Linked DNA regions of Neurospora crassa OR74A. The protein of the gene in region 3 purifies or fractionates together with the protein of the main gene of each other region. This does not show direct contact. Links are inferred from orthologs where the notes say so. Each region holds a gene or a part of one and is shown on either strand. Other genes may lie near its edges.

The links.
Region 1: the proteins of rpt-4 (region 3) and NCU07913 purify together in Saccharomyces cerevisiae (affinity purification with mass spectrometry; 5 studies listed by BioGRID, with this or other methods). This does not show direct contact. The link is inferred for Neurospora crassa OR74A from reciprocal best matches to the Saccharomyces cerevisiae genes RPT4 and SEM1.
Region 2: the proteins of rpt-4 (region 3) and rpn-7 purify together in Saccharomyces cerevisiae (affinity purification with mass spectrometry; 3 studies listed by BioGRID, with this or other methods). This does not show direct contact. The link is inferred for Neurospora crassa OR74A from reciprocal best matches to the Saccharomyces cerevisiae genes RPT4 and RPN7.

The regions. Positions count from the first base shown.
Region 1 is NC_026504.1:1,370,693-1,375,480, forward strand, and holds NCU07913 (hypothetical protein), read right to left. Parts: upstream 3,315-4,788; 5' UTR 2,956-3,314; coding exon 2,832-2,955; intron 2,596-2,831; coding exon 2,484-2,595; intron 2,163-2,483; coding exon 2,123-2,162; 3' UTR 1,679-2,122; downstream 1-1,678. Other genes in the region: pgk (phosphoglycerate kinase), read left to right, coding at 159-224, 330-750, 813-1,582; NCU07912 (hypothetical protein), read right to left, coding at 4,497-4,760. UniProt on the Saccharomyces cerevisiae protein: Versatile protein that might stabilize multiple protein complexes involved in diverse pathways. Subunit of the 26S proteasome which plays a role in ubiquitin-dependent proteolysis.
Region 2 is NC_026506.1:2,285,848-2,290,992, reverse strand, and holds rpn-7 (proteasome regulatory particle), read right to left. Parts: upstream 3,979-5,145; 5' UTR 3,623-3,978; coding exon 3,158-3,622; intron 3,078-3,157; coding exon 2,263-3,077; intron 2,180-2,262; coding exon 1,981-2,179; 3' UTR 1,664-1,980; downstream 1-1,663. Other genes in the region: ala (alanine aminotransferase), read left to right, coding at 34-1,088; NCU03971 (mRNA cap guanine-N7 methyltransferase), read left to right, coding at 4,421-5,145. UniProt on the Saccharomyces cerevisiae protein: Component of the 19S cap proteasome complex which acts as a regulatory subunit of the 26S proteasome, involved in the ATP-dependent degradation of ubiquitinated proteins.
Region 3 is NC_026501.1:6,197,514-6,203,812, reverse strand, and holds rpt-4 (proteasome 26S subunit), read right to left. Parts: upstream 3,613-6,299; 5' UTR 3,368-3,612; coding exon 3,160-3,367; intron 3,101-3,159; coding exon 2,714-3,100; intron 2,635-2,713; coding exon 2,178-2,634; intron 2,104-2,177; coding exon 1,983-2,103; 3' UTR 1,592-1,982; downstream 1-1,591. UniProt on the Saccharomyces cerevisiae protein: The 26S proteasome is involved in the ATP-dependent degradation of ubiquitinated proteins. The regulatory (or ATPase) complex confers ATP dependency and substrate specificity to the 26S complex.

The DNA.
Region 1 (4,788 bases), on a different chromosome or scaffold from region 3:
TCGCGTGTTGTCGCATATCCACCTGATTCTCACCCTTCGCCTTCATTCTGTTGATAAGACATCCTCTCGTAGTCTTGTGTTTGTTCCTTTCTCTCTCTTGATCTTCCTTCCCATCGTCTCTCCAATTCGTAATACCTAGTCACATACAAACCGCCATCATGTCTCTCTCCAACAAGCTCTCCATCGAGGACGTCGACCTCAAGGGCAAGCGCGTCCTCATCCGTGTAAGTTTCTTCTAGCGCTAGCTAGCTCCTGATGTCGCTGTGTGATTCATATAGGTGGATGGGTGGGTGACCAGACAAAAGTTCTAACATGCCACCCTTCTCTAGGTCGACTTCAACGTCCCCCTTGACGCCGAGAAGAAGGTCACCAACCCCCAGCGCATCGCCGGTGCCATTCCCACCATCAAGTATGCGCTCGACCATGGCGCCAAGGCCGTTGTCCTCATGTCTCACCTTGGCCGTCCCGACGGCAAGCCCAACCCCAAGTACTCCCTGAAGCCCGTTGTTCCTGAGCTCGAGAAGCTCCTCGGCAAGAAGGTCACCTTCGCCCCCGACTGCGTTGGTCCCGAGGTTGAGGAGATCGTCAACAAGGCCGACAACGGTGAAGTTATTCTCCTTGAGAACCTCCGCTTCCACATTGAGGAGGAGGGCAAGGGCACCGATGCCGAGGGCAACAAGGTCAAGGCCGACAAGGCCAAGGTTGAGGAGTTCCGCAAGAACCTCACCAAGCTCGGTGATGTGTACATCAGTGAGTTTTCCAGTCCCCTCGGCTTCAAGATTGGGCACAGTAGCTAACACCATATTCCACAGACGATGCTTTCGGCACTGCCCACCGCGCCCACTCCTCCATGGTCGGCATTGACCTCCCCGTCAAGGCCGCCGGTTTCCTCATGAAGAAGGAGCTCCAGTACTTTGCCAAGGTTCTCGAGTCGCCCCAGCGCCCCTTCCTCTCCATCCTCGGCGGTGCCAAGGTTTCCGACAAGATCCAGCTGATCGACAACCTGCTCGACAAGGTCAACACCCTCATCGTCTGCGGTGGTATGGCCTTCACCTTCAAGAAGACCCTCCAGAACATGCCCATCGGCAACTCGCTCTTCGATGAGGCCGGCGCCAAGATTGTCCCTGACCTTGTCAAGAAGGCCGAGAAGAACAACGTCAAGCTCGTGCTCCCCGTCGACTTCACCATTGCCGACAAGTTCGACAAGGACGCCAACACTGGCTACGCCACAGACAAGGACGGCATTCCCGACGGCTGGATGGGTCTCGACTGCGGCGAGGAGTCGGTCAAGCTCTTCACCCAGGCCATCAACGAGTCCCAGACCATCCTCTGGAACGGCCCCGCCGGTGTCTTCGAGTTCGACAAGTTCGCCAAGGGCACCAAGGCCACCCTCGACGCTTGCGTCAAGGCTGCCGAGGAAGGCCGCACCGTCATCATTGGCGGTGGTGACACCGCTACCGTCGCTGCCAAGTACGGCGTTGAGGACAAGCTCAGCCACGTCTCCACTGGCGGTGGTGCTTCTCTTGAGCTCCTTGAGGGCAAGGCTCTCCCTGGTGTTGTTGCTCTTAGCGAGCGTCAGTAAGTTTGTCCTTGGCTTTCAAAGGAGTTGGGAAGGAGATATAATGATGTTATGAAACCTCTCGGATATTGAATGAGAGATCATGACTGATGGATCAAAAAAACATATGATGATAAAGGGTCCTTGGAAGGATTAGCAGGGCCAGTCTATGATAGGCACTCAGTCCAAAGTCGATAAATAGAACAAAACAGTTAAAGTCCAGTTTTTATGATTCGAAGTGTGATGTGCGGATAAGCTTGACGAATCTGGTTCATCCCAAGATATTATTCGAGTTTATGCACCAAGTTCGAGACGAAGTCTATGCAGATCATCTCAATCCCGTGTTGATACCCAATGACTTGTGTCAATGACTACACAAGTCGGTACGTCTCCGGATATTGTCTCTTTATAGTCGGAGGGTCTCCTTCACCTTTCACTCGCATATCGAAGCCTCGCACAGCAATGTCACCGCAAGATCCCGGACTGAAACTTTGGTCAACATTGTATTGATGCGCCTGTCCTCCCCTCATATCATACTTTGTACAAGCTTCGAAAGTCCTCCGATTACCGCTTCTTGGCAGCCTCAACCTTCTTGAGCTCCTCCCTAATGGTTTGAAAAAGACAAGTCAGCAACTGTCGCTTTATACGGCTTTGCTTTTTGTTTCCTCCATAAAGTTCCAAAATGGTGTGATTCATTTTAACGCCTGACTGACTGGCCCAGCGCAATACGCGCCAACCCGGGTCTAGGATTTTCAATCCCAACTCCTAGCGCAAAGCTAGCTAATTACGTGAAGTGGAAGTTCATAGTAAAGGAGTAGGAGGAGGAGGGAGAGGGAAAGGGAGGGAGGGACGCAGGTAAAAAGGGAAGGAAGAAGGAAGGAAGGAGTACGAAAAGAAAAGGAAAAAAAAAACAAAAAAAACGTACTTTAGCTGGGCGGAAAAGTCGTCGCTCGTGTCGTCGTCGTCCCAGGACTCCTCCCATAGGTGCTTGGCCTCGTTGTTGCCCTTGGCGGCTTCTGTGTCTTCGGCTTCCCAGTCTATTTTGGTTATTTTGTTAGTTACATGTGCGGTACAACAGCTGGGGGAGCTAGCCTCCGCAGTTGCGCAAGTTGAAGGAAGTTTGGTATGTAGTGTCCGTGCCAATGATGAAGGGTATAGGCAGAGAGGTTGTTGAATGATATGATATATGGAAGCAGGTCGTGATGCGGTGGTGTTTGAAATGCGATGCGGCGTCCAGCAAAAGGTGCTTCTTAGCCATGGCGGGCAGACTAACCATCGACGGGGAAGTCCTCAAACTCGTCGTCCTCCTCCAACACGGCCGTCTTCTTCTCGGTAACGGGCTGCTCGGGCTTGGGCTCGGTCGACTTGGCGTCGTTCTTGGGTTGTGTTGAGGCCATTGTGAATGTTGTGATTTGTGTGTGTAGGTATAGAGGGATGGGACCAGCTGGACTGAAGCTGATGACGCTAGACGGATGGATTGTATCGACGAATTGTTCGAAAGGCGGGCAAACTCGTCGGGCGTACTTTTAATCACGTCGTGGTGATGATGATTGCGCTTGGTTTTGTTGTTTGGTATTATGCGCACGGAGGAGAATCGAAATCGTCGGTTTGGCGGCGGCAAGATGTTGGGCGCTGCGGTGGTTGATAGCTCTAGGTAGTAGCTTTTGGTCCGTCAGTCGTGACAGCTCGTGATCTTGTCGTTTGTTCCGTCAACTGCAGCTGCCGAGTGACGGGCCCCCAACCCAAGGCGGCAGCGAGACGACGTGCCAATTCGGCTTCCTCCGCCCACTGCACTTGGCCTGGCCGAGCCAGGGGCGGCAAGAAAGAGCACGGGCCATGTCGCAGATCTTGGCAAAAAGCTCTGGGACCCACTTTGGTATGTCCCCCGCCGCTGAGCTGTGATTGTGCTCTTGGTGTGTCTTTCTGTTTGGCATCGTCATTGATGTCTGGTCTGTACATATTGGAAGATCAACGCTGCACTGTTCAGGCATTGCAGTTCGTCCGAACCATCACTGACAGTTGCAGATGGCTTCCCATTTCTTGCATACTACAGTATACTGCCTGCAGTTAAGATTTCTAGTTCAACACGTAGAGCGCGAATCAGCCCACCAGGAAATCTTGGGTATAGAGGCAAACAACTAACAAGAAGAACTTCCTGCTGGTTCAGTTGCAAACACTTTGTCCCGGTAGCTCTATGGTGCGGCATCAAACCAATCTTCCGAGACCTTTGTTCTTTTCTCTTTTCCCCTCTTGTTGCAAACTGAACCTCATACATATCTGCTCAACTGAGCCATTGCGGTGAACCAGTTCGGGACTCCAATGTCACCTCTAGCAAGTGGTTACACGACATGGGATGCCGATATCTGCAGTGCTTATATCGAATCTGACCTAGAAGTCCCATTGAGACTCGATTGGCCTTTGCCCTGGCCATTCGCGAGTTGAGAGAAATGGATGATAGGTACCCCGGAGACTATATGGAGATCTGGGGGGAATCGGCCATTCCGTCATGGCTGGAACCCGGCTTTAGAACCCAGACCATATTCTTGGATGATGCAAGACCCAGAGGGCTACGATTGAGATGTAGATTGTACCGTACGGTGTGCAGAAGAGCGCGGCTTAGACGTGCCGGCTGCATTGGATATTATCTCCAGTATACCTTGGGATGGATACTGACACAACACAGTATCAAATGAAGGACTTATGACAGTTTATGCCACAGTTTGCCCAAGTTCCAGGGCAGCAACCTTGGAATGGAACAAGGTGTGAAAACCGCGGACGGCATCGGGGACCCTTTTTCGATTGTCTCTCTTGGAAAAGGCACTGTCTCTTGGACGCCTCGTCGCCTCTTTCCCCTCGTTCCTTTTTTTCCTTTTCCTCTTTTTTCTTTTCTCTGGGGCAATGCTACTACACTAGTTCCTTCACGTACTTGGGCGAATACTTAAAAGACCAGCCCCGCTGCTGACCACGAAGCCCTTTCAGAAACAAGCCGCAGCTCAGCCCAAGAACGAAAACCTGACAACAAACCTACGGTACATACGAACCTAATCCGATCATACTCGCATTTCTCCTTCTCATTGAAAAAGCTCCACCCGTTCGTCGAGTCAAGAGAATCAATGATCGGGACTTGCTTGATATCGGCAGGCATACCGTACCTCGAGACATCGACGACCTCCCTCCATTGGAGTCCTTCCCCGATGATCAACTAGATAAAACCCCACTTTCCGATCTGG
Region 2 (5,145 bases), on a different chromosome or scaffold from region 3:
TGCTAACATCCCTTTCTTTTTTTCGCTTCCTAGGGCGCGATGGCTTCCCTGCCAACTGGCAAGACATCTACCTCTCTGCCGGTGCTTCTTCGGGAGTCAACACCCTCCTGCACATCATCTGCGCCGATGAGAAGAGCGGCATCCTGGTTCCCATCCCCCAGTACCCTCTCTACACCGCCTCGCTCTCCATCCTGAACGCCACCTGCGTTCCCTACCTCCTCGATGAGTCCAAGAACTGGGGCACCGACATCAACACCATCAAGGAGTCGTACCAAAAGGCCAAGGACGCCGGCGTCGACACTCGCGCCATCGTCATCATCAACCCCGGCAACCCCACCGGCGCCTCCCTCTCCGAGGAGGACATCCGCGCCGTCCTCGAGTTCGCGCGCCAGGAGCGCCTTGTCGTCCTCGCCGACGAAGTCTACCAGACCAACGTCTTCATCGGCGAGTTCATCTCGTTCAAGCGCGTGCTCCGCCAGTTGCAGAAGGAGAACCCCGACGGCAAGTACGACTGCGTCGAGCTGGCTTCCCTCCACTCCATTTCCAAGGGCATGGTGGGCGAGTGCGGCCACCGCGGTGGCTACTTTGAGCTGGTCAACTTTGATCCCGAAGTCCAGGCTGAAATCTACAAGTTCGTCAGCATCATGCTCTGCGCGCCTGTCATTGGCCAGTGCCTGGTCGAGCTGATGGTCAATCCGCCCAAGCCCGGCGAGCCCTCCTACGAGCTCTACGAGAAGGAGTACCGCGGCATCTACGAGGGCATGAGGGAGCGCGCCAACGCTCTCCACAAGGCGTTTGAGCAGATGGAGGGCGTCGAGTGCGGTGCTCCCCAGGGTGCCATGTACCTCTTCCCTACCATCAACTTGCCCCCCAAGGCCGCCGAGGCCGCCGCCAAGGAGGGCCGTACCCCCGACGAGTTCTACTGCATGAAGCTCCTCGAGGCTACCGGCGTCTGCGTTGTTCCTGGTTCTGGGTTCGGTCAGAAGGAGGGTAGCTTGCACTTCCGCACTACCTTCCTTGCTCCTGGTACCGAGTGGGTTGGCAGCATTGTCAAGTTCCACAAGGAGTTCATGGATCAATATCGTTGAACGGCTCACACCACTGTCAAAGTGTATTTTGATTCGAAAACGGTACTTGATGAAAGGACTCTTTGCGGTTCGTCACGGTGGTGATGGGTGGGTGTCGAGTGTCCTCGAGATGGATGGATGGTCTGACTATGACGCTGCGCACAAGGGGGGCGCTCGTTCATCGGTTCTGCAGCCCCTCAAGTATCAAAGCTGCCGCGGAAGAACAGGGTGTGACCCTGGAGATATCATCCCTTCTCTCCCTTGTAGAATGTCACCTGCCCTGTCCGCTCATCTACCTTAGGGATAGATATGTTGCCCATCCCAGCGCCGGGACCGGATAATGAAGTTGAGGGGAAACATGGTACGGAAAAAGCGAGCGAAATCTTGTTTACCAAGCAGAACTCGGAGTATGAAGGACAAAAAAAGAGCGATTTGGTTCGGCTTTTGGTTTGGTTTGGTTGGTTGGTTGGTTGGTTATGGGATCTTTGATGATACCTCAGCGTTTGTACTTTTTGCTAGCCTTTTGCATTGCACGTATGTACGTAGCCTTATCCAGGATACGAGGGACATACGAATACAAAAGTAAAAAAGCCTGGACAAGAAGAAACGGAGTCTTATGAACACATGATGCAATATCCGTGACAATGAGGAGCAAGTCGTTTTGTGTCATTTGTCCTTACTAGAGACGAGTTAGGCCCTAACGACAATTTAATGTGATAGGTTGCTTTAGGCTCTATTCTCTTCTGATTTCTCTCCGCCTTTCATCCATCCACTCAATCCATGCCCTTGATCATTCATATCCCCTTCCCTTCTTCCCAAGGTAATCGCTAACGATAGCACAGCTCGCTTATACATCATTGACCTTCCCCTTGTTTCACTGCTAGCTTCTAACTCTCTTCAAGTTGGTTCTCTACTACGCCCTTTCGCTTCCCCTCAACCGAACAGCCTGTCCGTACTTCTGCAGCTTGGTAATCAGCTGGTCACCCTGGCGAACCACGTCCTGATACTGCTTGTTCTTGTCGTCGGGCCGGTTGGTCTCGATAACACCCTTGCCATTGACGCGGTCGATGGTGCAGGGAATACGGCCGGCGGCGATGAACTTTGCTAGGTCACTGTTTTTGTGATGTACGATCAGTATATATAGAACTTGTGTCGGGGGGAAGAGGGGTAGAACAAAAACAAGGGGAAAACCAACCGATCCAAGAAATCCACGGTAACACCAAAGTCGTTGGCCATGCTATCCAGTCCCACAACGCGATAGCTCTGCAGCAGTTGCTGGTACGCGCGCAGGCGCATCTCGCGGATGAACCAGTTCTTATGCTCGTGCAGGTAGCGGTCCTGGGTGAGGAATTGCTCCTCCACCAGGGCCAGCGCCTGGAAGAAGAGCTTGTACCGGCCGTTGTACAGGCTGCTAACCAGCTGCGCGAGCGGGTCAAAGTCGACCGCCATCTCCGCCTCAGGCTGTTCCGTGCTGCTGCCGAGCGTGGTCAGGTTAACTACAGCCGTCCGGGCCGCCACGGGGGCGTTATCGGCGTCCTGCATCGAGGCGTCGGCTCCCGGGCCGGCCGAGATGGCGCCGGTCAGTGCGAGCAGCTTGTCCTCTCCGTCGCCAAGAATCGCCTTGATCTCGGGGGCGTCCACGACCTTGGACTTGAAGTCGACGCGCTTGAGCGAGACGGAACCGGCGAGCACGGCGTAGACCACCAGGTTGCTGTAGGTGCAGAGTTCGTACGAGGTAAAGGTGGACAGACTGTCGAGGAGCAAGGGGGCGGCGCCGCTGTAGTTGCGCACGGTGAGCAAGTGCAGACCCTCGTAGGCCTTGAGGCGGTTGCGACGGTCCCAGTCGCCGCCCGATTCGACAAGCGACTTGGCGCGCTCGACAGTCTTCTGGACTAGCTGCTTGTCGCCAAAGAAGAGGCCGAGGCGGATTAAGGCGAGGACGAGATCGATCTTGGTACCTAGAATGCTCGTCTTCTCGAGCAGATCTTGGTGCGCGGCGATGGCTTTTTCCTGAATAGGAAGAGTGTATGCTTAGTATATGTCGGTTGGTGGGAGTGGATGGGTAGCTAAGTGAACTTGTAGTGACCAACCTTATCGCCAACTCGGGCCCAGAACTCGGCCCTCTTTCCCTTGGCAGCCTGGATCTCTGTGTCTCCCGCCTTCTCGACAGCCTCATCTTCCTCTTTTTGGAACTCCTCAAGCTCCTTCTCGTTCTCGGCCTGCAGCTGCTGGTACAGGTTCTCATCCCACGGTAGGCTTAAGCTTGTGGTGGGTTTGTGGGTCGCGATCATGCCGGCGGCGATGCTGCTCTTCCTACCCAACCTTCCGGCACCGGCAGTGTTGGAGCCGCCTTCCCCAACAGAGTTAAGGACACCCTCGGTAGGGTGCGCGAGGTATCGGTAAAAGGGCGCCATCTTGTGCTCGGTGATGGCATCTTGAAGGTTCTTAACGGCCGCTTGTTGGGCAGGGCGGGCGGCGTAGGGGTTTGTGAGGGTGAAGACATGCTGGGCGAGGGGCAGCAGAGGCCATTTCGCGTATTGAGGATCGGAGCCCATTTTGTAGTTGTGATGGGTGCTAGCTTACGAGCCAAGGAGGGAGATGGGAGAGGAGGATGCAAATGGAAGACGGTCCGGTGCTGGTCAGTGTCCGTCGTCTGGTAGAAGCACCCCGCTGGAAATCGGCAAGCAGCTGATGGAGGTGGATGCCGGCTTAAGATGGGAAGTTTCGCGGTGTTGAAAGCTCTTGGAAACTGGATCGCAATGTGTGACTTGGCCTGGCGCTGTGATTCTACCAAAGATGCCGGGTCGAGGTGAGGCTGGGTGGTGGTGATGTCTGTGGTTTAGTTGTGGTGCTCCTTGAATGGTTCGGAAGGTCGATAGAGTAGCTGACCTCACTGGAGAGTGACCAAGGCCCCCAGAGCTCGCGCGTCAGCACTGGAAAGTGGAGACAGAGCTTGGAAGGCGGGCCAGGCCTGCAAGTGGAGCCGCTGGAACAGTGCCCGGGCAGGCACACTTCATCGGCTCAAACACCGACCGACCCATGCTTGCATCCTCAAAACACTTGCATCCCGACTTCCTTTCCAATTGCTTTCTCTCCTCGACAACAACAACAACAACAACAATAACAAGAGCTTTCAACTTCGACATACCGAATTTCGAGTCCCAGAATTCACTTTCAGGATTTGCCTGTGTCTGTACTCGCATCAATCGATATCAACAGTCAAAATCACAACTCACACCACTCACCGTCGCATCAGTTATTCTGCTGTTACACGAAGCCTGTACGCTTGCCATAGTTGTTCTTGCCGATGATCAAGTCTCCTTGCGAGACCACACCAACAGTTTTTTCCAGAAATGTCAGGCTACGATGGTTACACCAGTTATAGGTCCACTCGCAAGAGGCAACGCTCAGAATCGCCCTACGACGACGACCGCAATGGCCGCAACGAAGACCGTCGATACAAGTCTGCGAGGCATGACGAAGATGAGGACGACAACGATGTCCTCCCACAGCCGTTTGATGCCCGCAAGTTAGCTCCGGCCAAGAGAACACAAACCCCCACTACCAGCGGCGAGCCTAGAAAGCAGAAGCGGCCTGGCCAACGTGCCCGCATCACGGAAGCCGAGCGCGAACAGATTCGTCAACGTCAGATGGAGCGCGAGCGCCAGGCTCAGCGGGAGGCAGAAGCGGCCGCCGAAGCTGAGCGCCGCAACGCGGTCAATGACGTCGTACGTGCCCATTACAATGCTGTGCCCGAGCGTGGCCGTGACTGGCGTAAGACGGACAGTCGCATCAAAGGTCTCCGCTCCTTCAACAACTGGGTCAAGAGCTGTATCATCCAGAAGTTTTCTCCTGACGAAGACCACTCGCCTGGCGCTCGTGAGCGGGGAATCAGTTCGAACAATCAGCTGTTGGTGCTCGACATTGGATGCGGCAAGGGCGGTGATTTGGGCAAATGGCAGCAGGCGCCACAGCCCGTAGAGCTCTATGTTGGGCTGGACCCAGCAGATGTCTCTATCGACCAGGCGCGCGATCGGTATCGAAGTATGGTGGCTCGTGGCGGTCATGGCGGCAGGGG
Region 3 (6,299 bases):
ATCGCTAGCTGAATTTCCAAGCAACCGACAGAGGTGGAAGTCATCTTTCAGGAGCCCACTTTTTGCGGCTGTGGCACCCTTCTCCACGGGCACAAGGAGGACCATCCAGGCCGCTAAAAATGTGGAAAACGAATACCATTCGGCCGCCGGCCGGATTCCTGCTATTCTTAGCAACCCATGAAATCTTTGCTCCCAGAATGCCGGGTCATTCATATGCTGGATGATGGAAGGTGTCCCCAAAGAGAACACCATGTCACAAGAGTTAGCTAGGTTGATGGAATTCGTCCATACCTCTCTTTCTAGAAAGATCATCAGCCAGTCAGCCACAAACCCAAAGGAAAATACGAACAACGTCCGCGGTCCAGTTTCCCTTTTTCGATCTTTGTGCAATCTTACAATACGGTGGCGCCTTGTTCAAACCCGGCAAGCTCTCACTCTATCTTTCACATGGCAATAATGCTACACACTACTCTACCGCCATGAGCATGATAATGTTAGCGTGACCACCATTCATCCTAGCCGGATATCTATACTATTGTATCGACCAGCCGCTCCACAAACCAATGCGACTAGAGTTCTATCTGCCATGCTACCTCGTATCGTGTTGATCCGCTCTTCGGCGGCGGCGCCCGCCCAGGAACAGGAACAGACACTACTACCATTCACAGAGAGAGATGAATGGCACCCTACCACGCCTACTTACTACTTTTACACTAGCCACCCAGCCATCCCAGCCACTGAGCCGCATAACACTATCTGCTCCATCGCATCACCACAAGAGGTAAAGTGCACATTGGCAAGTTATAAGCCAATTCACCTACGATTTTCTTTTACACATATTATCGTTTGTCAGTGTATGTACACAACACAGCAGGTAAGCAAGCGGGAAAGATATTTTGGGTTGATCCACCTTCACAAGCTCACAAGGCAATCAGGAACCGGATGGAACCATGGAAACATGCGGAGAAGTGAGTGGCACAGAACTAAGTCACTTACAGACCGGACAATAACCGCGGCCGGAAAACGTGATGCCGGAGACTTCCTCCTTGTCTTTGCTAGGAGGTCTAGACCGACAAAATTCCGTCCGTGTTTGACCCGAAACCGAGCTGATCAACACTTGCATGTCCATACATGCACGTGGAACATGTACAAAAGAAGGAAGGCAAGCGTATTCAACCTCGTTGCCTGAGGGGCAAAGACAATCGGACAATCTTCCCTCTGGTTTTCATGATGAGGCGCGGGAAAAAAAAAAAACACTAAACATGGTTGATTGGCAGGGTTGCACAAACCGGAACCATCTTGCCATCATGATCCATCCATCCGTACGTCCATCCACCTAGACATCTGCTCATCCATCCTTCTCAACAGTAAGGCATAACAAAGCGGGTGCCGTAGACCAGCAGCCGGGAAGCTGCATGGCGGTGGTGAAAGCGGTGCTACCTACTTTACTAATGTTGTGGGAGGAAACAACCGTGGCTCCGGGGGGGGGGGGGGGGGGGTCACTCCCGTCCATACTGAGTTTTTGTGTTGCTTACCTCCTTGTGACAAGGTTAGACAGCTACCACCACGTGGAAGATATGGTCATCTGAAGCGGAGATGATTTCTACGGTAATTTTGTTTACCCAATTCCAGCCATTCGATTGAGGATGGTCCTGAAGAACTAAGATAGGATGCGAATTTCAAGGACATGTCATCGTTACTGCCCAAAATTAAGAACCGTCAAGCTTCACCCTAGGGTTGAAGGAAGGGAACGATGCCATAAGCCATCAAATAGCCATTCTGACGCCCTTCCTGCGGGCATCGTGGTAGTCGCTTGTGTACAAATTACAGCTGAAAGCTCGCCTATCATCATCTTCCCCACCCGCATCTAGGTAGGGCGCAAAGTCTGCCTTGTCCGTGTCTAAGATGCTTCATCACTGTTGTTTGCTCAACTGCTACCACCTCCTCCCCCACAACTCCAACCACCAACTACTCCAGTCTTATTATAGCTTCTGGTATTCGAGCTTGCCCTCAAGCTTCTTGGCCTCGGCAACCTTGCGCACCGCCTTGTTGAAGTCGTCTTGGTTGATCGCATCGCGGTAGTCCTTGATCGCAAACAGACCACTATGTAAAATAGAAGAGTTAGCTGGGTGCTGCATGGTCGGCATTTTTTTAAAAGCAGGAAATTGTCAACTTACGCTTCAGTAACCACATTGCGCAAATCAGCACCGTTCAAGCCATCGCTCATTTTCACAACACTCTCGTAGTCGATATCGCCCTCAATAACCACACCAGAGGCGTGAATCTTCAGAATCTCCAGACGACCGACCTCATTCGGCAGAGGAATCTCAATCTTGCGATCTAGACGGCCGGCACGCAGCAAAGCAGGGTCGAGGGTATCGGGGCGGTTCGTCGCCATGATGATCTTGGTCTTGCCGAGATAGTCGAAACCGTCGAGCTGGTTGAGGAGCTCCATAAGTGTACGCTGGATTTCTCTGTCGGCAGATGTACCCTCGCTGAAACGCCTGCCACCGATGGCATCGATCTCGTCCATGAAGATGATGCAGGGCTCGTGTTCCTTGGCGTAGCCGAACATTTCGCGGATTAAACGGGCGGATTCACCGATGTACTTGTCGACGATGGCGGAGGAGACGACTACGAACGCGCAGTATTAGTGACATGTGTTCGAGTATTGGCGCCGTCAAGATGCAAGACAAAGAGGGTGCGAGCTTACCCTTCAAAAAGTTGGTCTCCAAGCTGCTCGCGACAGCCCTGGCTAGTAATGTCTTTCCGGTACCTGGAGGGCCATAGAGCAAGACACCCTTGGGGGGCTTGATTCCGACTCGCAAGAACAGCTCTGGGTTCTTGAGGGGCAGCTCAATAACCTCTCTGAGCTCACGAATCTGATCGTTGAGACCGCCGATACCCCCGAAGCTGACTTGGCCAGGATCCTCGAGCGACATGTTGTATACTAGCGGGTCGACCTCGCGGGGGAGCATGCGCATGATGGTGAGAGTTGTCATATCGAGCGCCACACGTGTTCCCTGCTTGAGCTTCGCCTTGTCGACCTTTGATCGGCAGCCGACGACGTATCTGGGGCCGGAGGAGGCCTTGACAATAACTGTGGCATAATAAGTTCGTAATGGTCTCCAGAGAATGGATAGGGGATGCAAGACGTACACCTCTCATCGTCCAGTTGCTTCAGGACCTCGCCGATGATCTGGCCGACACTTTGCAACGCCTTGATGTTCTCTTCTGTTTGGTCGTACTCCTTCTGTAGGCCCTTGAGCTCCAGACGCAAGTTCTTAAGCTTTGCTTCCCACTCTCGCGACTCGATCAGTTTCGCCTTGAACGAAGCCAAGGCATGTTGGCGCTCCTGGTCCGCCATTATTGTGGAGATATTGCAGCGACTGGCGGTTTGTCTAGTTGAAGGAAAGGTGACGTCAGGCTGTCTTGAGGCGTCAGCGTGATTGACTGTTTCTTGGGTTTGTGAATAGACCGGTAAGCGCGCAGGTCGAAGGGCTCGGGTATGGTAGACGAAATGGTTGTTTGATGGATGAACTGTTCCGGATTGAGATGTTGTGTTGATGCAACTGAACAAGTCGGCAGGCGGGCAATGGGCTGGCGTTGACGCACGGACAAAGGTACGTAGCTATCGATGGAGCTTACCTCAAGCTCTCGTTGCCTTGGGCGGCGGGTGGGTCCAGTGTATTGTCGCATTCTTGCCCCAGCTGAGGTCGAGTCGGGTAGGTGTGAATGCAGGCAGTTACACAGTAGAAACCCCTGCTTTTGCTAACCCCCACTTTTGCTAAAACCCCCCCTTTTGCTAAAGATTTCAGTTGCCCGCATTCCCTCTGGTAGTACACATCACCCCTGGAAAGTTCGTTAGTTCGGTACTTATAGGGGATTTTGATAGGGGAATGATAAGGGGGGTGATAGGGAATAAAACTAATAGAATTGCATATATGGACCCTATAGATTTTGAATAGGGAGAAAGGAGTTACGGAGAATTACTGTATTTGCTATACTAAAACTAGGGTAATCCGAGTACCTTTTTATAGCCGATACTTCCCCTAGTATTAGGTATGGCTTCTATTCGCAGTAATAACCGCCTGTATTCTTCTAGGCATTAAATATACTAACCGTTAAAGGTAATCGACTGGAATAGCTTCCTAAGCTTCCTCGATTGTAGATTTGAGACTCAATCTAGTTGGTTTAATTAGGTATTTACACTCAATCCAATTTTTTATCCAATTCCAGACGTTTTTAATAGAATTAAAATCGGGAGAGTAAGGGGGCCAAGGGATAACCTTTGCGGGATCGAAAATTTGAGCTATAAATACCTTTATTGCTCGTAAACTATAAGAAGGAGTATTATTCTGTATAATATAGAAGGACGAATTTTGTAACTAAAATTGTTGTAAAAGAGGGAAAATCCGTTCCTAGTAGGATTTACTAGTAATTGTACCCCACTCTTTATAGTTCTAAAAGACAAATATACTCTTTATCTTGCCCGTAAAGCAAACCTAAAATATTTATCCCCGAAGTTTCGATTTAATTTTAGTAAAGTTGTTAATATTTTTATTTTTAAAGAGGGTAACGAAACGACGGCTTTAATTAATACTATTTACTTACGTTTTATTAAACTAAATCTAGGACTCCTATTTAAATAGGGTAAAGTTAGCGAATTGTAAAGCGAATTCGAAACGAAGGCGGCGGGTTCTTTTACTAAGGGGGAGGCGCGTAGATTATTCTACGTAGCAGATACTTTGCACTTCTATCGCTATTTAAATAGCATATTCGCTATATTAATTAAATTCAGGGATACGCTTCTAGAGTTTGTACTACGATAGGAACCTCTTTAATTTTATAGGTATATTTATATAGTGGAAGAGAATTTTAAGGGTGGACAGCGGAATAATATACAGTCTACCCCCTACTTTACAGTATTAGGGGATTATTTTATATAAGTAAATATATTATATTTATCTATTTAGTTATTAGAATTTAAATACTAATAATTTTATTTCTAAAATTATATTTACCTTATAGTAAAATTAAAGCAATTAGTAATCTCCTTATAATCTATTTTAGTATATATACGAAGTACTTTATAGATAATATGCTCCTTATATATAGTGGGCGCTAACTTTCACTTTTTAAGTAACAGTTAAGAAGTAAAAGATAATTCAGTAGGGTTAATTAATAATAAGAGGGTAGTATTAGCGTTGGGCGAGGGTAACAATAGGGGGTCTTGCGTATTATTATTATTATTATTATTATTATTATAAGCATTGCGGATTTATTAGGGTTAAGGCGGAGTAGGACTTTTAAATTTAGGTAAGGATAATTGTAATTAAGGTACTAATAATAATAGTTAGTAATAATTAATATATAGTAATAATTTAGAAGGTAAATATATTAATTAAGCGCGTTAATAATAGCGGAGCGGCGTAGCAGGGTAAAAAGGAGGAGCTTATAGCATTACTAATTACGTAAGTTCCTTTCCTTAGTAGCGTACTTATTATAATTATAGTCTATATTACCCGTATAAATAAAATTCTCTTTATTATTAGTAATAGGATTGCTATTATCTTTTTAATATTGAATTTCCTCTTATTAAAGCAATTGAAGTTAAAGGTTAATAATCTATAAGAGTTAATAAAGTATTAAGATAAAAAAGGGTTAGTAAGGGTAAAAGAGAGGGTTGTATATAAAAGAGAGTAAAAGAATAGATTTAAAAACGGAAGGGCGGAAGAGGATTATATATAACTAACTAGTTAATTACTAGTTAATTACTAGTGTTTGTTCGTACACGGACCAAATATTAGTATATGCGTTGAGCAAACATCCGCTTTAGAGTTTTAGATTTCGTTGATTCCAATTGAAATTTAGTATTTATACCGCTTTTTAAATCTATTTAAGTAATTTGGGTAATTTGTGTAATTTTGGTCAAAATTGTAATTTCAAGAAAAATTATTAATTTACTAATTATTTTAACAAGTAATCCTAAAATCTAATTAGTTGAATGCGCTAGAGTACCCTATAAGTACGCTATAACTTTCCTATTATAGAAGGCAATAGGGTAGTAGTTCTAGTAATTCTAATAATTCTAGGCTAGTATTTAGAGGGTTTGTGTGCGTGTGTTCTGTTAATTCGCTCTCACTTTGAGGTTAGGCAATTTCAGCCAATTAGAAGCCGTAGATAGATGTGTCCCGCTTTGCAACCCCCCTTGTAAGAGTATGTGGGGCAAGAACTACGCTAATAAACTTTTAAGGGTCAATATGTAAGGACTGCAAACTGCTAATTGCAACGCTGAC